Saccharomyces cerevisiae S288C: one gene and its partner. Each later gene encodes a partner of the first gene's protein in a complex. Each region holds a gene or a part of one and is shown in the gene's direction. Other genes may lie near its edges.

Region 1 (4,575 bases):
AGCTTACTCATATGAATACCTTGGTTAATTAAGTGATCGGTATGGATTTGCAGATCTTGTTGTTTATAGAAATATGAAATCGGGTCTGGTTTATATGTTATGATAGTCTTGATTTCCTTGGATGTTATAGGTTGTAGTGAGTCCGTTTCTTTGTCATACTTCAATGCGCCATTTTCAATACCTTTTTTGAGTCTCGATAAAAGCCGTCTTTGTTCGTCGATGTATTTATTATATTCTTCCAGCGTTAAATCGTCTTCTAATGACTTAAAGGAAGCGATGTATTCGTGCAAGCTTTCGTATCCCGGCTTGACTACATGCAACGGGTTCGTTATGGTTTGCTTTGGAGGATGGACTACCAGTTTTATTCTAGGCTTCTTTTTCTTTCTACCTCTTTTTTTCTTTATATCTTCCTCTTCGGATGATGTGGTGAAATAAAAATTATCACTATAATGTTCACTAGTATTTTCAAAGGAGCTATCATCAGAAGGACACTTTATAGTGAAGGCTTCAGAGGGTTCTTCAACTTTTGCGATGTGATCATATCTCTCTTCAGCTATATGTTCATGCAATGGCAGTGGATTTTCCTTTCTTTCACTTTTGAACTTCAAGGACTTCGCTGCTTCTCTCTTCTTCAAATGTTGTATTGGTCTTTTTTGCGGTACTATAGATTTCCTATTTGAATGATCACTTAGTTTGTATTTTAGCTCCTCACATTTATTTCGTACTAATGGTGCTATGCTTTCTAACTTCAGTTCTATATCACCCTTTTTCTCATTAGTCGTTTCTGAACTAACAACTGTCGATGTCCTGAGGTTTCGCCTTCTGCGAGTAAGATCACCATTCGTGCCTTTCTTGGCTACGTCATCAGTGAATTTTTCTCCTCTCTCCTCTAACGACAAGTGTGTTTCCCTGAGAAACTTCTGAAAACTTTCAGAATCATTAAAATGGGTTGGATCATAATCTACCAATGAAACAAACTCTCTTAAATGGAACAGTTCATTCGTCAGAAGATCATACCTAAACTTCAAATCCGCCAGATCCTGTTCACCACCAGCCTTTTTGTCTTTCGCATGCGATTTACGAGATGTGGTCATATATTCTTGTAATGCAATAACTTGGAAAATGCAAAGAGCAGTTAGAATTCATAAATTTTCAGCTTAAGGAAATATTTTCTAAGAGTTAAAATGGTATTGTTGAATACCTCTCAAATGCAGTAATCGAATGCTTTGGGTCTTATCTAGTTTAAAGCTCAAAATCTATCCTTTTTGCACGTAAACACTTTAGAATCCCGCTATCCCTTTGCACTCTTTCTTCAAGTCTCCTCTTTTTTTTTTTTCTCGTAAGTTGTCGCGAAACGCCACCGAAAAATCTTAAGGAAATAATATTAAAAACTGAAAAAAAAAAAATTGAGAAAGTATTACCCTCCCTTAATAATCGTATAGAGGTATAAACGGGTAACATTATGCGAGCAATATGTTCACTACTGCATCAACGTATAGTGAAAAATGTCCATAGGTAGTACATACAGTCCACCAGTTGAAGGTTAACATACAGGTCGTTGAATCATCTAAATATATTTGTAAAGTACTCGAACATGAGCTCTAGAGCATTAAGGAGATTACAAGATGATAATGCTCTGCTAGAGTCGCTGCTATCGAATTCAAATGCGAATAAAATGACGAGTGGTAAAAGTACTGCCGGTAATATTCAGAAACGGGAGAACATCTTCTCTATGATGAATAACGTACGTGATTCAGATAATAGCACTGATGAAGGACAAATGTCTGAGCAGGATGAAGAAGCTGCTGCTGCTGGGGAGCGTGATACTCAAAGTAATGGTCAACCTAAAAGAATTACACTAGCATCCAAGTCTTCTAGAAGGAAAAAGAATAAAAAGGCAAAAAGGAAGCAAAAAAACCATACCGCCGAGGCTGCAAAAGACAAGGGTTCCGATGATGATGATGATGATGAAGAATTCGACAAGATTATCCAACAGTTCAAAAAAACTGATATATTGAAGTACGGTAAGACTAAAAATGATGACACTAATGAGGAAGGTTTCTTCACGGCATCTGAACCAGAGGAAGCATCTAGCCAACCTTGGAAGTCATTTTTAAGCTTAGAAAGTGATCCGGGCTTCACAAAGTTCCCCATTTCATGTTTGAGGCATTCTTGCAAATTTTTTCAAAATGATTTCAAGAAATTGGACCCCCATACGGAATTCAAACTTTTATTTGACGATATATCTCCAGAGTCTCTTGAAGATATTGATTCGATGACATCCACACCTGTCTCCCCTCAGCAGCTGAAACAGATTCAGAGACTGAAAAGATTAATTAGAAACTGGGGCGGAAAAGATCATAGATTGGCACCTAATGGCCCCGGAATGCACCCGCAACATTTGAAGTTTACCAAGATCAGAGATGATTGGATCCCAACTCAAAGAGGTGAGCTCTCTATGAAACTTTTAAGTTCTGATGATCTTTTAGATTGGCAATTATGGGAAAGGCCGTTAGATTGGAAGGATGTTATCCAAAACGATGTCAGTCAGTGGCAAAAATTCATTTCTTTTTATAAGTTCGAACCTTTAAATTCCGACCTGAGCAAGAAATCAATGATGGACTTCTACTTAAGTGTTATTGTTCACCCTGATCATGAAGCCCTTATAAATTTGATTTCTTCTAAATTTCCGTATCATGTGCCTGGACTGCTACAAGTTGCTTTGATATTTATTAGGCAAGGTGATAGATCAAACACTAATGGATTGTTACAAAGAGCACTCTTTGTCTTTGATAGAGCTTTGAAAGCAAATATTATTTTCGATTCCTTGAATTGTCAACTACCTTATATATACTTCTTCAACAGACAGTTTTACTTGGCAATATTTAGATACATCCAATCTCTTGCTCAAAGAGGTGTTATAGGAACTGCTAGTGAATGGACAAAAGTTCTCTGGTCACTGAGCCCATTGGAAGATCCTTTAGGATGCAGGTATTTCCTCGATCACTATTTTCTATTGAATAATGACTATCAGTACATTATAGAATTATCCAACTCTCCATTAATGAACTGTTATAAACAGTGGAATACTTTAGGATTTTCCTTGGCGGTAGTACTAAGCTTCCTAAGAATAAATGAGATGAGTTCCGCCCGCAATGCGCTTCTAAAAGCCTTTAAGCATCATCCTTTACAACTGTCAGAACTTTTCAAGGAGAAACTCTTGGGCGATCATGCGCTAACTAAAGATTTATCCATTGATGGCCATTCGGCAGAAAACTTGGAATTAAAGGCATATATGGCCCGCTTCCCGTTACTTTGGAATAGAAACGAAGAGGTAACATTTTTGCATGATGAAATGTCGAGTATTTTACAGGATTACCATAGAGGAAACGTTACAATCGATTCAAATGATGGGCAAGATCACAATAACATTAACAACTTGCAATCACCTTTCTTTATTGCGGGAATCCCAATTAACTTATTAAGATTCGCCATACTATCTGAGGAGTCTTCTGTAATGGCTGCAATTCCATCATTTATCTGGTCTGATAATGAAGTATATGAGTTTGACGTATTACCACCAATGCCTACGTCAAAAGAATCAATCGAAGTGGTTGAAAACATCAAAACCTTTATTAATGAAAAGGATTTAGCTGTCCTTCAGGCAGAAAGAATGCAAGATGAGGACCTGTTGAATCAAATTAGACAAATATCTTTGCAACAGTACATTCATGAAAATGAAGAGTCAAATGAAAATGAGGGTTAATAAGAAATGTTGCAGCTCATTTTCTAGTACGCAGAGTAAGGCTAAAGCACTTATTTGAATTTAACGTTATTCATTGCATAGTTCAGAAAGGGTGTGATCCAAAAGAAAATGCATATACGAGTGGTCCGACGTTTACATATGTACTAGTGACTGTATATTAATATATGCACATTTATGTAGCTACGGATTTCACTTTATAAAAGATCTTCTTTTTTGATATTCTAATATTCGTAACAATGATTTCAACGGGTAGACAGGTGCCAAACTGCTGGCAAAGATTAAGTTGGAAGCATCTCCTTTCGTCATCTTAGTATTTACATAAGTAGTAACATCATCCAAAGATAATCTAATAAAATCTTTTGAGGACTCACCATATACTTTCTTTAGCTTTCTGAAAACAAAGTCTCTTTGTTTTGACGTAGGAACTGTTTGTCTCCATTTCGAGTATTTACTAGATATTGCCTGGTATTGCATTGTTTGTCCTTCCAAGTCCGAATTTAGAGTATTTATGATTTTTTCCACCTTTGACATTACATTCCAAAGATTAGCGTCTTTTATTATACTTTTTGGAACATAGTCCGCGTATTTATTTGTTATAAAACACGGTAATTGTCGATACATTTTTAGATGATATACCATCGACAATTTGTCTTCGGATTTTTCTTTGTATATTCTCAAATGATTCTTACCTTTTAAAGGGAGGCCCCACGCATTTGAGGCAAATTTCACCCACGGATATTGTGAGTTCATCAACAGCTCCATTTCTTTTACAGCTTCAGAAGCTTCATCAAACTCCTTGCCAGATGGAT
Region 2 (7,247 bases), on another chromosome or scaffold:
GGTATCACGAACATGTGCCAAAGCTTGTACCGGTACCAAATTATGCGAATGTCAGTCAGTAACAATGTCAGACCCTACTATCAACCCAGATGTAGCTCAAGTGGAACCTACTGTTCTCTCAAGCTTTTTAATAGAAACGCTCATAGAATATCATAGAGAGTTCAATAATAGCGGTATCATAGTTTATCTGATAACGTGCAAACTGTCCTGATCATGAAGCGGAGTTGAATGACAGGGTGATGGAATTGATGGCTAGTTGCTTTCGTATGCCTCGGTATAGGCATGCTAATGACACCCTAGGGTGGCTATTAGTATGTTGCAATGCCGAGAGGAGGTTGAATAACAATACCATTACATCAGCCGATAATATAGTGCATTGTATCAGCAAAATTAAGCAGTCAATTTATTTTTTTATCATTTAATGGCGATGGTTGGATAATTGTCTAAGAACAGTATTGAGTATTGCAATAAACCACTAAGGTTAGCCTCACGGCCAAACTATGTTGGTATCACTGTTACTAACAAGGTGGTTGTGTACGTGAAGGCAGATTGGCCTCAGAAGGCTCTTACCATTAAATAACAAGGCCATTATTCCACTCAATAGCTTGGCACTTGCACATTTGTGTGCCATTTACACTGAATGATTCATCTTTTTGATATCATGCAATATAATAATACAGGTGATAGAATGCGAAAAGCACGGGAAATAGGTGACTTTTGAGATAGTTGTTGAATACCATTTCCATAACAATACAATTTGGACAACATTATCTTATACCGAATATACCTTAAGTTTTACTCGAAAATATAGGAATCCATAAAAGGATCGATGATTCTTCATAATAATATTATGGTTTCTCGTTCCACTTTATATGTTGTCACTCATTATCCTATTGCATTATCAAGTCGTGCGTTCCACCCCCATTAAATTTGATGGCAGCTTTTAAATCTTTACCTTTATGCCATATTTCTACGTCGTATATGTAATAAGATGGATGCTAGACTATAGGGGGTAGGTGGTTCCTCTTCCGACATGTAGAGAATGTGGATTTTGATGTAATTGTTGGGATTCCATTGTGATTAAGGCTATAATATTAGGTATGTAGATATACTAGAAGTTCTCCTCGAGGATTTAGGAATCCATAAAAGGGAATCTGCAATTCTACACAATTCTATAAATATTATTATCATCGTTTTATATGTTAATATTCATTGATCCTATTACATTATCAATCCTTGCGTTTCAGCTTCCACTAATTTAGATGACTATTTCTCATCATTTGCGTCATCTTCTAACACCGTATATGATAATATACTAGTAACGTAAATACTAGTTAGTAGATGATAGTTGATTTTTATTCCAACACGACAATCATGAGTAATTACTTGATAGTGGATAGTAAGTTTTGATAGACACTTCCATTTTAAACTGATTTCACTTTTTACAGTGGCTAGAAATTACAATAAGAAATGGGCGTGTGGCGTAGTCGGTAGCGCGCTCCCTTAGCATGGGAGAGGTCTCCGGTTCGATTCCGGACTCGTCCAAATTTTTTGCTACTTTGCAATTAGTGTAACTTCATATTTAAAATTATAGTTAATCAAGAACAGAATATCGTCACAATGCTCTTTAAATGTTACGTACTTCTTACCTCCAGCTTGACTATATACTTGTCAATTCGAGTTAACCCAGATTATGCCCCAACATGGAAAACTGAAAAATATTGATGAAGCGAGGAAAAAAAACGTCATAGGAAAAATTCAAATGTTGCAACTTCAGATGGTTTTCTTCAATATATACAATACTGAAGAAGTCCTTCTTAATAGTTCAAATCTGCTAAGCCATCAAAAAAAGTTCAAGCAATAGTTGGTTCTTAATGTCGTTTGGTGGAATCAATACATTTCAACAGTATAACACAGATTTAGGGCTCGGCCATAATGGTGTTAGAATATCCTTAAACTACTTTGATGGTTTGCCGGATCCAAGTCTTTTAAACTCCTTGTACTCGAACGAGCTGAAACTCATTTTCAAATCTCTTCTGAAAAGAGATGAAACTACAAAAGAAAAAGCTTTAATGGATCTTTCCAATTTGATCAGCGACTTTAACCAGAATGAGTACTTTTTCAATGACATTTTTCTTCTTTGTTGGTCGCAGATATATGCTAAACTGATAATTAGTGATTACAAGGTCATCAGACTGCAATCACATCAAATTACTATAATGCTTGTCAAAAGCCTTCGGAAGAAAATATCGAAGTTTTTAAAGGATTTTATACCTTTGATACTTCTCGGTACATGCGAACTCGATTATAGTGTTTCCAAACCTTCTCTTAATGAATTAACAGAGTGTTTCAACAAAGACCCAGCAAAAATTAACGCCTTATGGGCTGTTTTTCAAGAACAACTATTGAATTTAGTAAAGGAGATTGTTGTAAACGAGAATGAAGATACCATTTCTGATGAACGTTACTCCAGTAAAGAAGAATCTGAGTTTAGATACCACAGAGTTATAGCAAGTGCCGTATTGCTGCTGATTAAGCTTTTTGTTCATAACAAAGACGTCTCAGAACGTAATTCTTCCAGTCTTAAGGTGATTCTTTCTGATGAGTCAATCTGGAAACTACTTAACTTAAAAAATGGGCAAAATACAAATGCCTACGAAACAGTTCTTCGATTGATTGATGTTCTTTATACAAGAGGTTACATGCCTTCCCACAAAAATATAATGAAGTTAGCGGTGAAAAAACTATTGAAATCGTTGACTCATATTACGTCAAAGAATATTCTAAAAGTATGCCCTGTTCTCCCATCAATACTGAACCTTTTAGCTACCTTGGATGACTATGAAGATGGGACAATATGGTCATACGATAAATCTTCTAAAGAAAAAGTACTCAAATTTTTATCGGTTTCCCGTACTTCACCATCGCCAGGATTTTTCAATGCTGTGTTTGCATTGTACAGCTCGACTAAAAGACACAGTTTTCTTGATTATTATCTTGAATGGCTTCCATTTTGGCAAAAATCGGTGCAAAGACTGAATGAAAAGGGCTTTTCTGCGAGAAACAGCGCTGAGGTTCTTAATGAGTTTTGGACAAATTTTTTGAAGTTCGCTGAGGATTCATCAGAAGAAAGAGTGAAAAAAATGGTGGAAAGTGAGATTTTTAACTCTCTGTCTTGCGGGAAATCTTTATCTGAGTACACAAAACTGAACCAGACTCTTAGTGGCGTCTTTCCACCCGATAAATGGGAGAGAGAGATTGAAGATTACTTCACTTCAGACGAAGACATAAGAAAAATAAAGGTGAGCTTTGAGAAGAATCTTTTTGCTTTATTGGTTACTTCTCCTAATAACGAATCCGCAATTAGTCGTTTATTCGATTTTTTTGTGCAATTAATCGAAACAGATCCCTCAAATGTTTTCAACAAATACGACGGTGTATATGATGCTCTCAATTACTTTTTAGATTCAGATATGATTTTCTTGAATGGGAAGATAGGGAAATTTATAAACGAAATTCCAACGTTGGTCCAAGAATCAACATATCAAAACTTTGCTGGTATCATGGCACAGTACTCAAACTCCAAATTTTTCAAAATGAATACTGACGCGATTACTTCGTTGGAAGACTTTTTTATCGTTGCGCTTTCTTTTAACTTACCAAAGACAATAATTTTAGCCACAATGAATGAGTTGGACAATGATATTTATCAACAATTAATGAAATCAGATTCCCTAGAATTAGAATTGTACATTGAAGACTTTATGAAAAATTATAAGTTTGACGACAGTGGGGAAATATTTAAAGGTAATAATAAATTTTTAAATCAAAGGACTATCACCACACTTTACCGAAGCGCAGTTGCCAATGGCCAAGTTGAACAATTTTGTGCTGTTTTGTCTAAATTAGATGAAACTTTTTTTTCAACGTTATTGCTGAATACCGATTTTCTTTCTTGTGCATTGTATGAAGTTTCAGAAGACACTAATGAGAAACTATTCAAGTTGTCATTACAGTTGGCTAAAGGGAATTCTGAAATCGCTAATAAGTTGGCCCAAGTGATTTTGCAACATGCTCAGGTTTATTTCAGCCCCGGGGCAAAAGAAAAATATGTCACACACGCCGTGGAGCTAATTAATGGCTGCAACGATACTTCTCAGATTTTTTTTCCCGCTAACGCAATCGAAGTTTTTGCCAGATATATGCCAGCAATTGATTATAGGTCATCCTTAGTGAGCAGCTTAAGTACTAACACGCATTTGCTCCTTACAGATGATAAGCCTATCAATTTAAAAAATATGCAAAAGCTCATCAGGTATGCTCTATTCTTAGATGCCCTACTTGATGCTCTTCCAGAGCGCGTTAATAACCATATTGTTGCATTTATAACTGTAGTTTCTGAGCTCGTCACTGATTATAATTGCCTTTCAGAGGAACCAAATGATCTTTACTATGATTTTGGGCATACCTTTTTCAAACATGGCAAAGTAAATTTGAACTTTTCTGATATTGTTGGAAACGTTATTCAGCCTGCTAATGGTGGTGATGCTATGCTTACTTTTGATATTGCTGAAAGTAATTCTGTCTACTTTTTTTATTATTCAAGAGTATTATATAAGGTTCTATTGAACAGCATTGATACTGTTTCATCCACCACATTAAATGGGCTATTAGCATCGGTTGAAAGTTTTGTCACGAAAACTGTGAGGGATCAAAAATCTACTGATAAAGATTATCTCCTATGTGCTATATTACTATTGATGTTTAACAGGTCCAACTCAAAAGATGAGATAACGAAATTAAGGACATTGCTGGCATCTCAATTGATTGGGATTAGAGAAGTAGAACTTGTCGATCAAGAATTCAAGTCGTTAGCTCTTTTAAATAATCTGCTGGATATCCCACAGGCAGATAAACAGTTTGTTCCTATAGCACCGCAGAGACTGAACATGATATTCCGTTCAATACTAAAATGGTTGGATAGTGATCTTGCCTACGAGCCTAGCTTTAGCACCGTTAGATTGTTACTACTAGATTTTTTCACCAAACTGATGAGGTTTGAAGGAGTCAGAGATATGGGCATAACAGCTTTTGAACTTTCGGAAAGGTTGCTGGCAGACTCTCTATCGATGTGTCAAATTGATGACACTTTATATTTGTTAGAACTTCGCTCTTCCTGTTTGAACTTATATGAAACATTGTCGCAAGGCGTTTCCAAAAATGGCGAGGAAATCTCAGAATATGGTGATGAAATTCAAGAAAATTTGATTGAACTGATGTTTCTCAACTTTAATCAAGAAAGAAATAACCAAGTATCCACACTCTTCTACCAGAAATTGTACAAGGTCATTTCCTCAATGGAACTCAAAAAGTTAGAATCTCAATACAAAAGAATATTCGAGGTTGTATTGAATGATAAGGATATCGGTAGTAATATTAATCAATCAAGATTATTAACTACTTTGTTGGGTTCTTTGGTGGTAAAAACACAGCAGGATATTATAATTGAGTATGAACTGAGGATTCAAAAACAAACTGGCTCAGACGTAGATGGTAGTGCATCTGATAATGATGTAAACTCAAAATTTAAACTACCTCAAAAATTATTACAAAAAGTTACTGATGAGGTGCCAAAAGAATACCTTGAATACGAGAATAAAAATTCATTTATTAAATATCTATGGTATTGGCACTTGATACTGATGTACTTCAAAGATACGTCTTATAATATGAGACAAATATTTATTGAACAATTAAAGGAAGCTGGTTTAATCAATAGAATGTTTGATTTCATAACAGATCAAATAGATTTAAGAGATACTGAGTTTTGGAAACAGGTCGACACCAAGGAAATTTCGGAATACAACATTGTCGGCAATAATTTCTCTCCTTATAAAGAAGACATATTTGAAGAATGTAAAAAACTTTTGGGCCATACACTTTATCAGTTGTTTAACAACGTCGGTTGTCTAACGAGTATTTGGTGGTTAAATATAAAAGATAGGACATTACAAAATGATATTGAAAAGTTTGTCTCAGAGTTCATCTCCCCAATTTTGATCAAAAATGAATTTGACGATATCAATTCTAAGATGGACCGCCTGACTTCTAATGATGATGCTTTGACTATTAAATTAAATAATATTACTAATGAAGTGAAGGCAAGCTATTTGATTGACGACCAAAAGTTGGAGATTTCCTTCAAACTACCAAAAAACTACCCTTTAACAAATATCCAAGTTAATGGCGTCTCTAGAGTTGGTATAAGTGAACAAAAATGGAAACAATGGATAATGTCTACACAACATGTAATTACAGGCATGAATGGATCCGTTTTGGATTCGTTGGAGTTGTTTACTAAAAATGTGCACTTACAATTTTCTGGTTTCGAGGAATGTGCCATATGTTACTCTATACTACATGCCGTGGATAGGAAACTACCTTCGAAGACATGTCCGACTTGTAAAAATAAGTTCCACGGAGCATGTCTTTACAAGTGGTTTCGATCATCGGGTAACAATACATGTCCATTATGCCGTAGTGAAATTCCATTTAGAAGGTAGACTATCGCATATAAATTTCATATAAATGTACTACATTTTTTAAACAAAGTTCCTTTTATTATTGTGCTCTCTTACAAATTATACAATCCAGCCCTATACCTTGCCAATCCAGCCCATCACCCGGATATTCTGGAAATTTTTTCTCTTCAGGATTTTTTCAGGATAAAAATCGAACTTGAAAGAAGAATGGTTTTTAGTTCAGGCCTTGTTTTCAGTTTTTAGCTACTAAAAGAGGGATAACCATTGATGAAATTCTATTGAATGTCCCCAATTTTCGGAAAAGGACTGCACCGAAATATTTCAATCAAAATCATTTATCGTTTTGTTTAGCTATTTTTTTCTCAAATTATCACTCTTTTCTTCCTTTTTCATTCTCTCAATTGTTCTTTTTATTTGAGGAAATTTGATTGTATTGCATATACAACTATGCGATGCACTTTGTTCATTTTAACTTTGGATATATGTGCCTTGCTATGAACGCGTTCATTTTTAAGTGACCGGACCCTAAAATATTCAGGTAGCATGACGGAAGCTATGAATTAATCCTGGTGGAGGGGTGTGTTCAGTTTGAGGGAGGATGATAAAATGGAACGGAGATTGCAAGGAGACGTAGAAAATAAAGTAGGAGCAAATGGATTTTCTGCTTGGCGGTATAGCACGTTTGAGTTTTTCAGTCGTGTCTAT

The links.
Region 2: RQC1 (region 1) and RKR1 share a complex: the UniProt entries of both Saccharomyces cerevisiae proteins name them as parts of the ribosome quality control complex.

What each region holds. Positions count from the first base shown.
Region 1 is NC_001136.10:1,132,451-1,137,025, reverse strand, and holds RQC1 (Rqc1p), read left to right. Parts: upstream 1-1,594; coding exon 1,595-3,766; downstream 3,767-4,575. Other genes in the region: chromatin-remodeling protein SWR1, read right to left, coding at 1-1,094; IRC3 (double-stranded DNA-dependent ATPase), read right to left, coding at 3,956-4,575. UniProt on the Saccharomyces cerevisiae protein: Component of the ribosome quality control complex (RQC), a ribosome-associated complex that mediates ubiquitination and extraction of incompletely synthesized nascent chains for proteasomal degradation.
Region 2 is NC_001145.3:762,667-769,913, reverse strand, and holds RKR1 (ubiquitin-protein ligase RKR1), read left to right. Parts: upstream 1-1,874; coding exon 1,875-6,563; downstream 6,564-7,247. Other genes in the region: YMR247W-A (uncharacterized protein), read right to left, coding at 488-631. UniProt on the Saccharomyces cerevisiae protein: E3 ubiquitin-protein ligase component of the ribosome quality control complex (RQC), a ribosome-associated complex that mediates ubiquitination and extraction of incompletely synthesized nascent chains for proteasomal degradation.